Lepisosteus oculatus: one gene and its partner. The protein of the gene in region 1 interacts with the protein of each later gene in a pairwise test. Links are inferred from orthologs where the notes say so. Each region holds a gene or a part of one and is shown in the gene's direction. Other genes may lie near its edges.

Region 1 (3,920 bases):
TGATTTGACTTAAGACCTGGAAACAGCGGCAATATAAGAGAATTTTGGTTTTAATTGACTCAAGAGTTATCTGTCCAATCAATCAATTTGAATTAGAATCTCAGATTTAATGAATTCCAGAAGGCCCTTTGGCTCTCCAAATCCAGGTGTAAAAATCATCAGTACAGTTGAAATATTACATAAACAGTGAACACTGCGCAGTGACAAATATTTATAAAAAGAAGACGGATACAAGTGCCCCTTGTATACTGAACAATCGTGAATATTCGCAAAATACTGATAATTGTTGGCTGTTTAAAAGCCAGGAGCACTTAGCGCGCAAAACCATATGACCAAGCCAATATTTCCCACTGCAGGTACAGCAGAGAAAAACAAGTCAGTGGTTGTGAGGATTATTGTTTGTAAGGACAGACTTACATTTGTCAATAAAATTAATTTCCAGTCACACAAGCCCATCAGAAGATTGAAGGGGATTCCTTAGAGAGCTACAGTATAGTAGAAGGAAGCTTCGCATCTGCAAAGATGGTAAAAGAGTCCAGGTCTCTGTAATTTTTAAACCATTTTCCATTTAAACATTCTTGAGCCAAATGCATCAGAAAGTACAAAAAAACACAACTGCAACAGCAGCCATCTTTAAGGATAATGTATATGAATAGCCCACTGGCTGCAAAGAGGCTTAAGGAAAGAATAAAAACAAAATAAAAACATTACACGATGGACAATTCTACGAATATTGAGTGTTTGTCGGTACTGTTTAATTGGTAACGCGACATGTAAGAAACATTTAATCACAAGGGGGGGAAAACACTTGTAAAAAAAAACTTCTTAAAAGTCTGCTGTGTTTTTCATTTTTGTTTTAAAAAAAAGTGTTCGTTATGTAAGAAACCATGAAGTGAGAAACTTAGAAATTGTCCCGAGTATATCAACCGTGTGTAGCAAAGTGAAAAAAAAAATCCAGAATGATCAAAGTCTATTAAAAAAGAGGTGTTACGAATTCACCAGACAAGTTTACCGTCTATAACCGGAAACATCTCACGCATGTGCAGAAGTAGTCTTACTCTGTGACATGGCTAGATACATTCTACTGGAAAAAAAGAGAGAGAAACGGTTTCATTAAGAAAAGGAGTCAGGAGCGCTTGATCTTTTTCATTAATACATTTACCAGAAGTTACCAGAAGAGCTTAATCAGAGCGGTGCGGAAAAGAAGCAGTCATTGAAGGATCTCAGAGTTGCTAAGAAAGAAAAGTACAAGAAAAGTCCGCCGATGCGACTGGGGGAAGTCCCGAAGGAAATCCCCAGTAGGTACTGGAATATTATTTCGAAATTGTATGTACCGATCTATTATACGGCTGACCCTTGTCTCTGGGAGATGTTCGTAGAGCCCTCAGTCGAATAAAAAGTTAGTGCGCGTCTCAAGTGAAGAACACAGCGAATTTTAACCTGGAATGCTGGAGGATTAGCGGAGGGACATCCGATGTCGGCTCTTTCAGGTTGCGCAGAACGCCCGATCGCTGGATACAACCAAGCTGATTCTCTGATGGAAAGCATAAAGCGAGAAAACGCGGCGCTCAAAACAAAACTACAGAGCTACAATACTTTAAACACGTTCTACCACGAAACGAATCAAGAAATCGCCAAGTTAAGCCACCAGATGTGCCTGAAGGACAATATCATTGCTGACTTGAAGACAAGATTGGCCGCATACGAAAACACGACGGTTCATATGGGTGGAGAGGAACCTCTGGTTTTTGGACCTTCTAAATCCTTGTTCGAGAACCTGTGTCAAGAAATCGGTAAACTTAAGCATCAGCAGAGAGAGACCGAAAGAAGCGCTGATCGGCAATTGGGAAACATGAAACTAGTAAGTGATTTCTTGGTGTATAATGTGTACATCTGCTGCTTAAGATGTTATAATACTGCAATAAAATGCATTTTATTTGTAGCGGTTCCCCTGCTATTAGTAATAATTCCTTTTTTCTTATCTGAAAAATAAATATCTATATATATTAAACTAGTGGGTAATTTAATTATGACTGTAAGCCGCTGTAAATTGAAAAGGATTGTAATTTTCTTGTGACGCAAATAGAAAGGGGGATTTCTGCAGCGTCTGATGTAGGATGTTAGGAAGTTTCATTATAGGCCAAATGGTTACGGCTATATTTCCAATTCCGCCTCGCTGAACAAAGATCATTTGGGTTATATTACAGTATCGGTATAGTTAATAAAATTAGGTATTTTTTTATATTTATGTCCAATATTTAATGCACTTCTCAACTGTAATTAGAGTAATTATTTAAAAAGTACACATTTTGAACTTGGGTTGGACTCTGCTGACCTAGTTTTATTATAATCGAAAAATAAACGGCTGAGTGAACTACACATTCTATAAACGTCTTCCAGCTTTTAGCGATGAACGCGAGTGTGTGTTATATTGCTTACAACTCTAATTTAATTCAACTCTATTGCTCGTCTTTTTAGTGCCTTAGACAAATATCTCAATATCGTAAAGGTTCAGACATTCAGCGAAATAATTCATTTGCAATACTGAAACCGGAAGAGTAAAAACTTAAAACAAGCAACCTCCACTTTAGCTGGAAAAACTCAGTTTTTCCAAACCCCAAGAGCATTTCTCAGGGAAGAGCTGTATCATTTCATGGAAGGCACCGATTGGCAATGCTGGTGCTTTCACTAGAAACAAATGTGACTTGTTTATATGGTTTTTAAAGTTATCATTTACATTCATAAGCGTCTGTAAACAGGGTAAATGCAAACAGAAAATCAAGATTGTTTTGTTGTTGTTTTCAAAAGTATCTTATCTGGTTTGGTTGTTTTGTTTTTACTTGTTAATTCGTTTGGTGATTTCTTCTGTTTCTCTGCCATCCCTTTATGCCAGAAAGTGCATGGAACCTATTTTTGAAAAAAGGACTGTTTTGAGTTTAGTGTCCTGCGTTTTTTTTTAATGCTATTAGCATGTTGTGTTTCAGGGAATGTTCATGTCTGTGATTCTGTATTCTTACAGTTTCATGATTAGATGAAGAAATATGTTGATGTAGATACAGCATATAGACTTAGTTGAACATATGCCATTACATGTTTACTTCATTTGACCACACTAGGTAGATCAATTGACAAAAAAAAATATGTTCTCAAGGTGTTTGAACAAGCTAGCTTCTGTGCATATAGTTCCTGCAAGATAAGGGCATGACACTGAGAAATAAAAGAAAGCCTCCTTTATTTCAAATAATTTAGTAAGCAATGAATTTAAGATCATATACAGTACAGTGCAGAACTGAAGGTCAGCATCTCATCATTACTTTTCCCCAGTCTGTGTGTGGTCTGCATTGGACAGGAAAACATTTAAATTATGTGCTTTAAATAGATATAAAAACACACACAGCATAGGTATTCAAGATAAAACCACTCTTTATTTAAGATTAGCAACAAGCGTTTTATTTCTTGTAACTGTAAATCCCCACTCTCCGTGAATTTCAGGAGATTCAGGAACTGCAGCAGCAGCTGAGTGCCAAAGAGCAGGAAATCCAGAGAATCACCAGCAGGCCCCAGCACGAGAAGGACCTGGAGATCATGCAGCTGCAGCAGACCGTGGCGGAGAAGGACAGAGTCCAGGCCACAAGGGCGGTCCTGTGCTACTCTCTCGCCGAGGAGGCTGAAAATCTCAGGGCCCAGCTGGGCGCCACTGTAGGCGTGTGTCAGCAGCTACTGCAGAGACTGGAGAGGAAGCAGCAGAGGGAGGACTCCACCAGCAGTGCCACTCAATCAGAGCAGCCCAGAGAGGTACCTCAACCTGAGAGAAAGAGACCGTACAGCCCCTTATCATACACTGCTCTCAGCCTGCTGTAATACCACTGATGTACTCCGCGTGACTTTAGAGGAAATGTTAACATTATCCCAGCCAGAAA
Region 2 (3,920 bases), on another chromosome or scaffold:
AACAGTAAGAATCGAAAATAAACCAAGCGGGCATTTTGTGAGAGAGCTAGGCGGAGAGCAGTCTCGTATACCGCATTTGACTGGCACGGAAATAGAAAGTTATTTTACAGCGCAGGCAACGCACGGTAGTAGAGAGCAACTGTTCGCTTGCCTAACCGGTACACAAAGCTGTGGTGACGTGCTTACGCGCAAGTGACTCGGGTGCATCTAAAACATAGGTCCTGCGCGATCATCATCATTTACAGTCAAGAGAACGGGAACACGGTTTTGGATGAAGCCTAGCTGTAAAAGTAACAAACACCCTGAACAAACATCCGCAGCCGGAACGGTTTTCTTTTTCATTTTCAGCGGGGAATTAACCTCTACGCGTTCCTATAAATACCATTGATTAAATATTAAAAACAATGAGACGCATTATATATATATAGAGATGGGATCGTCATTCAGGTAGTTTATGTGGGTGTGTATAATGAAGACATTTTCTACGTGTATCTTATTTGCTAACATTAGAGTTATAACGTTTACAGTTTTAGCTCCGTAAACAAAACCTGCCGTTTGGCATCTTTTAGGAATCTTATAAGTTGACGATTTCTGTGCACGCACATAAAGAGATTAAAAACACCGACAATTAGCCATATTGACGGGGTGTCATTGTCCACTTAGACCCTGCTGGCGTAGTGAATTCATTGTCATTTCTAACAAGAGCGCATCTGACATAGCATTGCCGCGTCTCATCCAGAAAGCTTGAAACCGGTCGCCGCTGTGACTGTCGCCACCCGTTGTGTGCTCTGTGACAAACGTAGGCTGCTTGTGAAAGTGTTATATCACATCCAGTCCGCAGCGCCTGTGCTTTGCTGGGAGAAATAACTGCCCGAGTTTTTCAAGTAAAAGCCAGTGACGGCGGCACGCTATGGAAACTCCTTTTAACTCCGTGCAAATTCTGGGATTTTCCCCTGATTTAGGATTGATAGTAACGATCAGCCAATAAGCGTAAACCTGGGATCGGTCCACTCTATGAGAATCCCAATACATACAGTAATACAAAGATTTCGAAAAGGCAGAACTTGTTATACATGACATTATGAACCTGACGAGCTGCCCGGCCAAACAGAATACAGTACGGCAGCCTAGCTTCCCTCTCACACACAGGCAATGGAAAGTTGCATTGATCGATGGAGGGAATCGACCAATCAGCTTCTGACGCTCGATGGTTCCGCCTCTCCAGGGGACCGTGTTGGGAAGTGATTGACACGACGTGTAGCCAATAAGTGCGCACGCAAGTGGTTGCCATATTGACGCGCTGACGTAAGGGGCTGGCGTTTCGGTCTTGAGCGAGGGGGGAGGTAAACAAGATGGCGACAGCCTGACGGCGGCTGCAAATTTAAGGGGTTCAAAACCTATCCTATTTACACCGACACGGATACACGCCAGGAAAAGTAAATACGTAAATTAACATACATCAGCGAAGCGCTGCATGCCGGATTTTTGGAGGCCGAGGAAGAGATGCCAGCGACGGGACGTCCATAAAGTGATATATTAGGAGTAGCAGTCGTACTACTAATTCGGTCTCTCTGGATTGTACTTGACATCGTATCTGCTGGACTTCAGCTTTGGTGACTAGAAGGAGGGTCTCCAGTCTGCCGGTTCTTTTCCAGAAACATACACATTTAAAAAAAATAAAGGCAGGACAGGCGTCTGGAGATGAAAGAGTTAAGCAGAGGATAAACCGGGCACGGAGTGCCGGGGGGCTGGTGCGTTTTTATTACGCCGAGCAGGTAAGAGACGAGGGTTTTCATTATTAATATAAACAAGTCAAGTGTAGTGTTCAAGCAGAGGGATCCGAGGCCGTGCTGCCTCTACGAAACGAGCGATTAGTATTTTTTGAAGCGGTGAAGTAAAAGAGTGCAGCTTGGCCGTCAGCGTAGGTTCACATCTACTGATCTCGGGTAACGGGCGACGGATTTCTGTTTGTGTTTGGTTTTTTTTTGCTTCAGCCAGCGCGTAAAACTGTAGCATTGCTGCACTGGGTTGGCTAATTTATTTGTTGTTGTTGGTTTTTTGTTTTGTTCAAATAAAGCCAGAATAGGTCGAGAACACTTAATATCTTACGCCTTGGAGCTCTCGCGGTGTCGTTTGTGCTAGCGTCCGTTTACAATCTGTAATGTGCCTCTTGGCTGCAGATGACACGTACAATGCATTGTCGTTGTTTCTATTTTGCTATATCAATGCATGTGCAATGTTATTCTTAACATAGTCTTAAATTAGCTTCGCAAACTGCCTTACGTGTATCATTGATCTGAAATATTTTTCTTGCATTCCAGATATTGGATCTTCGTTTGCTGCAACTGGCTAAGGACTAATTTTAACTCTTTGATAGTAGTGTGCTGGGAATCCTAAGGATATGAAACCAGCGGGGGGATAGGGAGTCAAGTCTTCGGGAAAATTTCCCTTAAAAAAGCAGTACCAAAGAAGATCTCGCTTGTTACAGGTGTGAAGAAGACGGGGAGGGGGGGGGGAGGACACATTTTCTGCCCGTTGGATGACGTCGGTGTCCACGGACTGGGGGCTCCTTGGCTGACGGTGGATTTGCACCCCGATGCCAGCAGGAGCCAAACACCAGGGACTGTCATCGAGTTAGAATTTCCACACTCCTCCACCTCCACCATCACGGGGAAAAAGAAAGCATAAACCGACTACATTTCTCTCCCTGGTTTTGTGAAGCAGCGGGGTGTAATGTGAAGGGGCACCACCAGACTTTTTCCTCTAAAGTGTATGTAAAAGCCCCCCCCCTCACTTCTGCATCCGTGTGTGTATCAGGAACTCCAGTCCGGGCTATGCTGCTTCATAGCTGAACTCTGGCAGAGTCTGCCCCTCCACCCCCAGTCTGGTTCTCCTTGGAATTCCCGAGCTCTTGGAGGTCTTATCCACTGGGTGCTGTAGCTTTCTTGTTCCACACTTCTCGCTTGGAGAAAACGGAGGGATTTCAGGAGTAAGTACCTCTTCCCTTCCTCCAGCACCTCCTCCCCCCTCCCCCCTCCCCGGGCCCACCTCCTCCTCCCCAACTCCGCAACCCCTGAGCTGCAAAGATGAGCATGGACGAACTGCAGCGCCTGTCCCTCGACTACCTGGCGGAGCCCGAGCTCATGGGCATGGACACCTTCATCCACCGCATCGACTCCACGGAGGTCATCTACCAGCCCCGGCGCAAGCGGGCCAAGCTCATCGGCAAGTACCTGATGGGGGACCTGCTGGGCGAGGGCTCCTACGGCAAGGTGAAGGAGATGCTGGACTCGGAGACGCTGTGCCGGCGGGCGGTGAAGATCCTGAAGAAGAAGAAGCTGAGGAGGATCCCCAACGGGGAGGCCAATGTCAAAAAGTAAGTCCCGGCTCCTGGCCCCAGATCCTCATCTTTTGGGCTGGGTCTGAGCCCCCCGACTGCTGCAGGCACCCTCTGTCTGCTTCTAAGAAAAGACCACGGGGCTGTCTTCATTTTGCTGGACCACCCATGGGCCATGGACCATGGACCACCCATGGGTGGTGTGGGTGGGGTATGGGTAGCCAACGTGGATGTCCGGGCGAGGGCAGACCCGTTGAGTGCCGGTGACCTGTGGCCAGTTGTGTCCCTGTGAGTATGTGAGAGTAGGCTATCTGAAGCTGCCAAAAGCCTGGGTGGTCTTGAAAGTGTCACTCTGGTCATGGACTTGTAAGGCTATAATTACAGTCATCCCTCGGCCTAAAGGACTAATAGGGAGGAGTGTATATATAGGAGAACAGGGAAGTCCATTACTGCCGAATATCCCTTTTTTTTTCAGCCTAAAAACATGCTATTTCTGCATATACATAATGTATTTTTCTTATGTATGTGCTCTGGAAGTTTTGACTTATTTAACAAGGGCAGTCAACACAGTAAAAATTGTTTC

Evidence for each region.
Region 2: the proteins of tnip2 (region 1) and stk11 interact in binary tests that used the Homo sapiens proteins (3 or more experiments, as listed by UniProt). The link is inferred for Lepisosteus oculatus from reciprocal best matches to the Homo sapiens genes TNIP2 and STK11.

The regions. Positions count from the first base shown.
Region 1 is NC_090696.1:72,665,192-72,669,111, forward strand, and holds the start of tnip2 (TNFAIP3-interacting protein 2), read left to right. Parts: upstream 1-1,043; 5' UTR 1,044-1,474; coding exon 1,475-1,861; intron 1,862-3,492; coding exon 3,493-3,795; intron 3,796-3,920. UniProt on the Homo sapiens protein: Inhibits NF-kappa-B activation by blocking the interaction of RIPK1 with its downstream effector NEMO/IKBKG.
Region 2 is NC_090724.1:7,566,755-7,570,674, reverse strand, and holds the start of stk11 (serine/threonine-protein kinase STK11), read left to right. Parts: upstream 1-1,308; 5' UTR 1,309-1,775; intron 1,776-2,321; 5' UTR 2,322-3,086; coding exon 3,087-3,376; intron 3,377-3,920. UniProt on the Homo sapiens protein: Tumor suppressor serine/threonine-protein kinase that controls the activity of AMP-activated protein kinase (AMPK) family members, thereby playing a role in various processes such as cell metabolism, cell polarity, apoptosis and DNA damage response.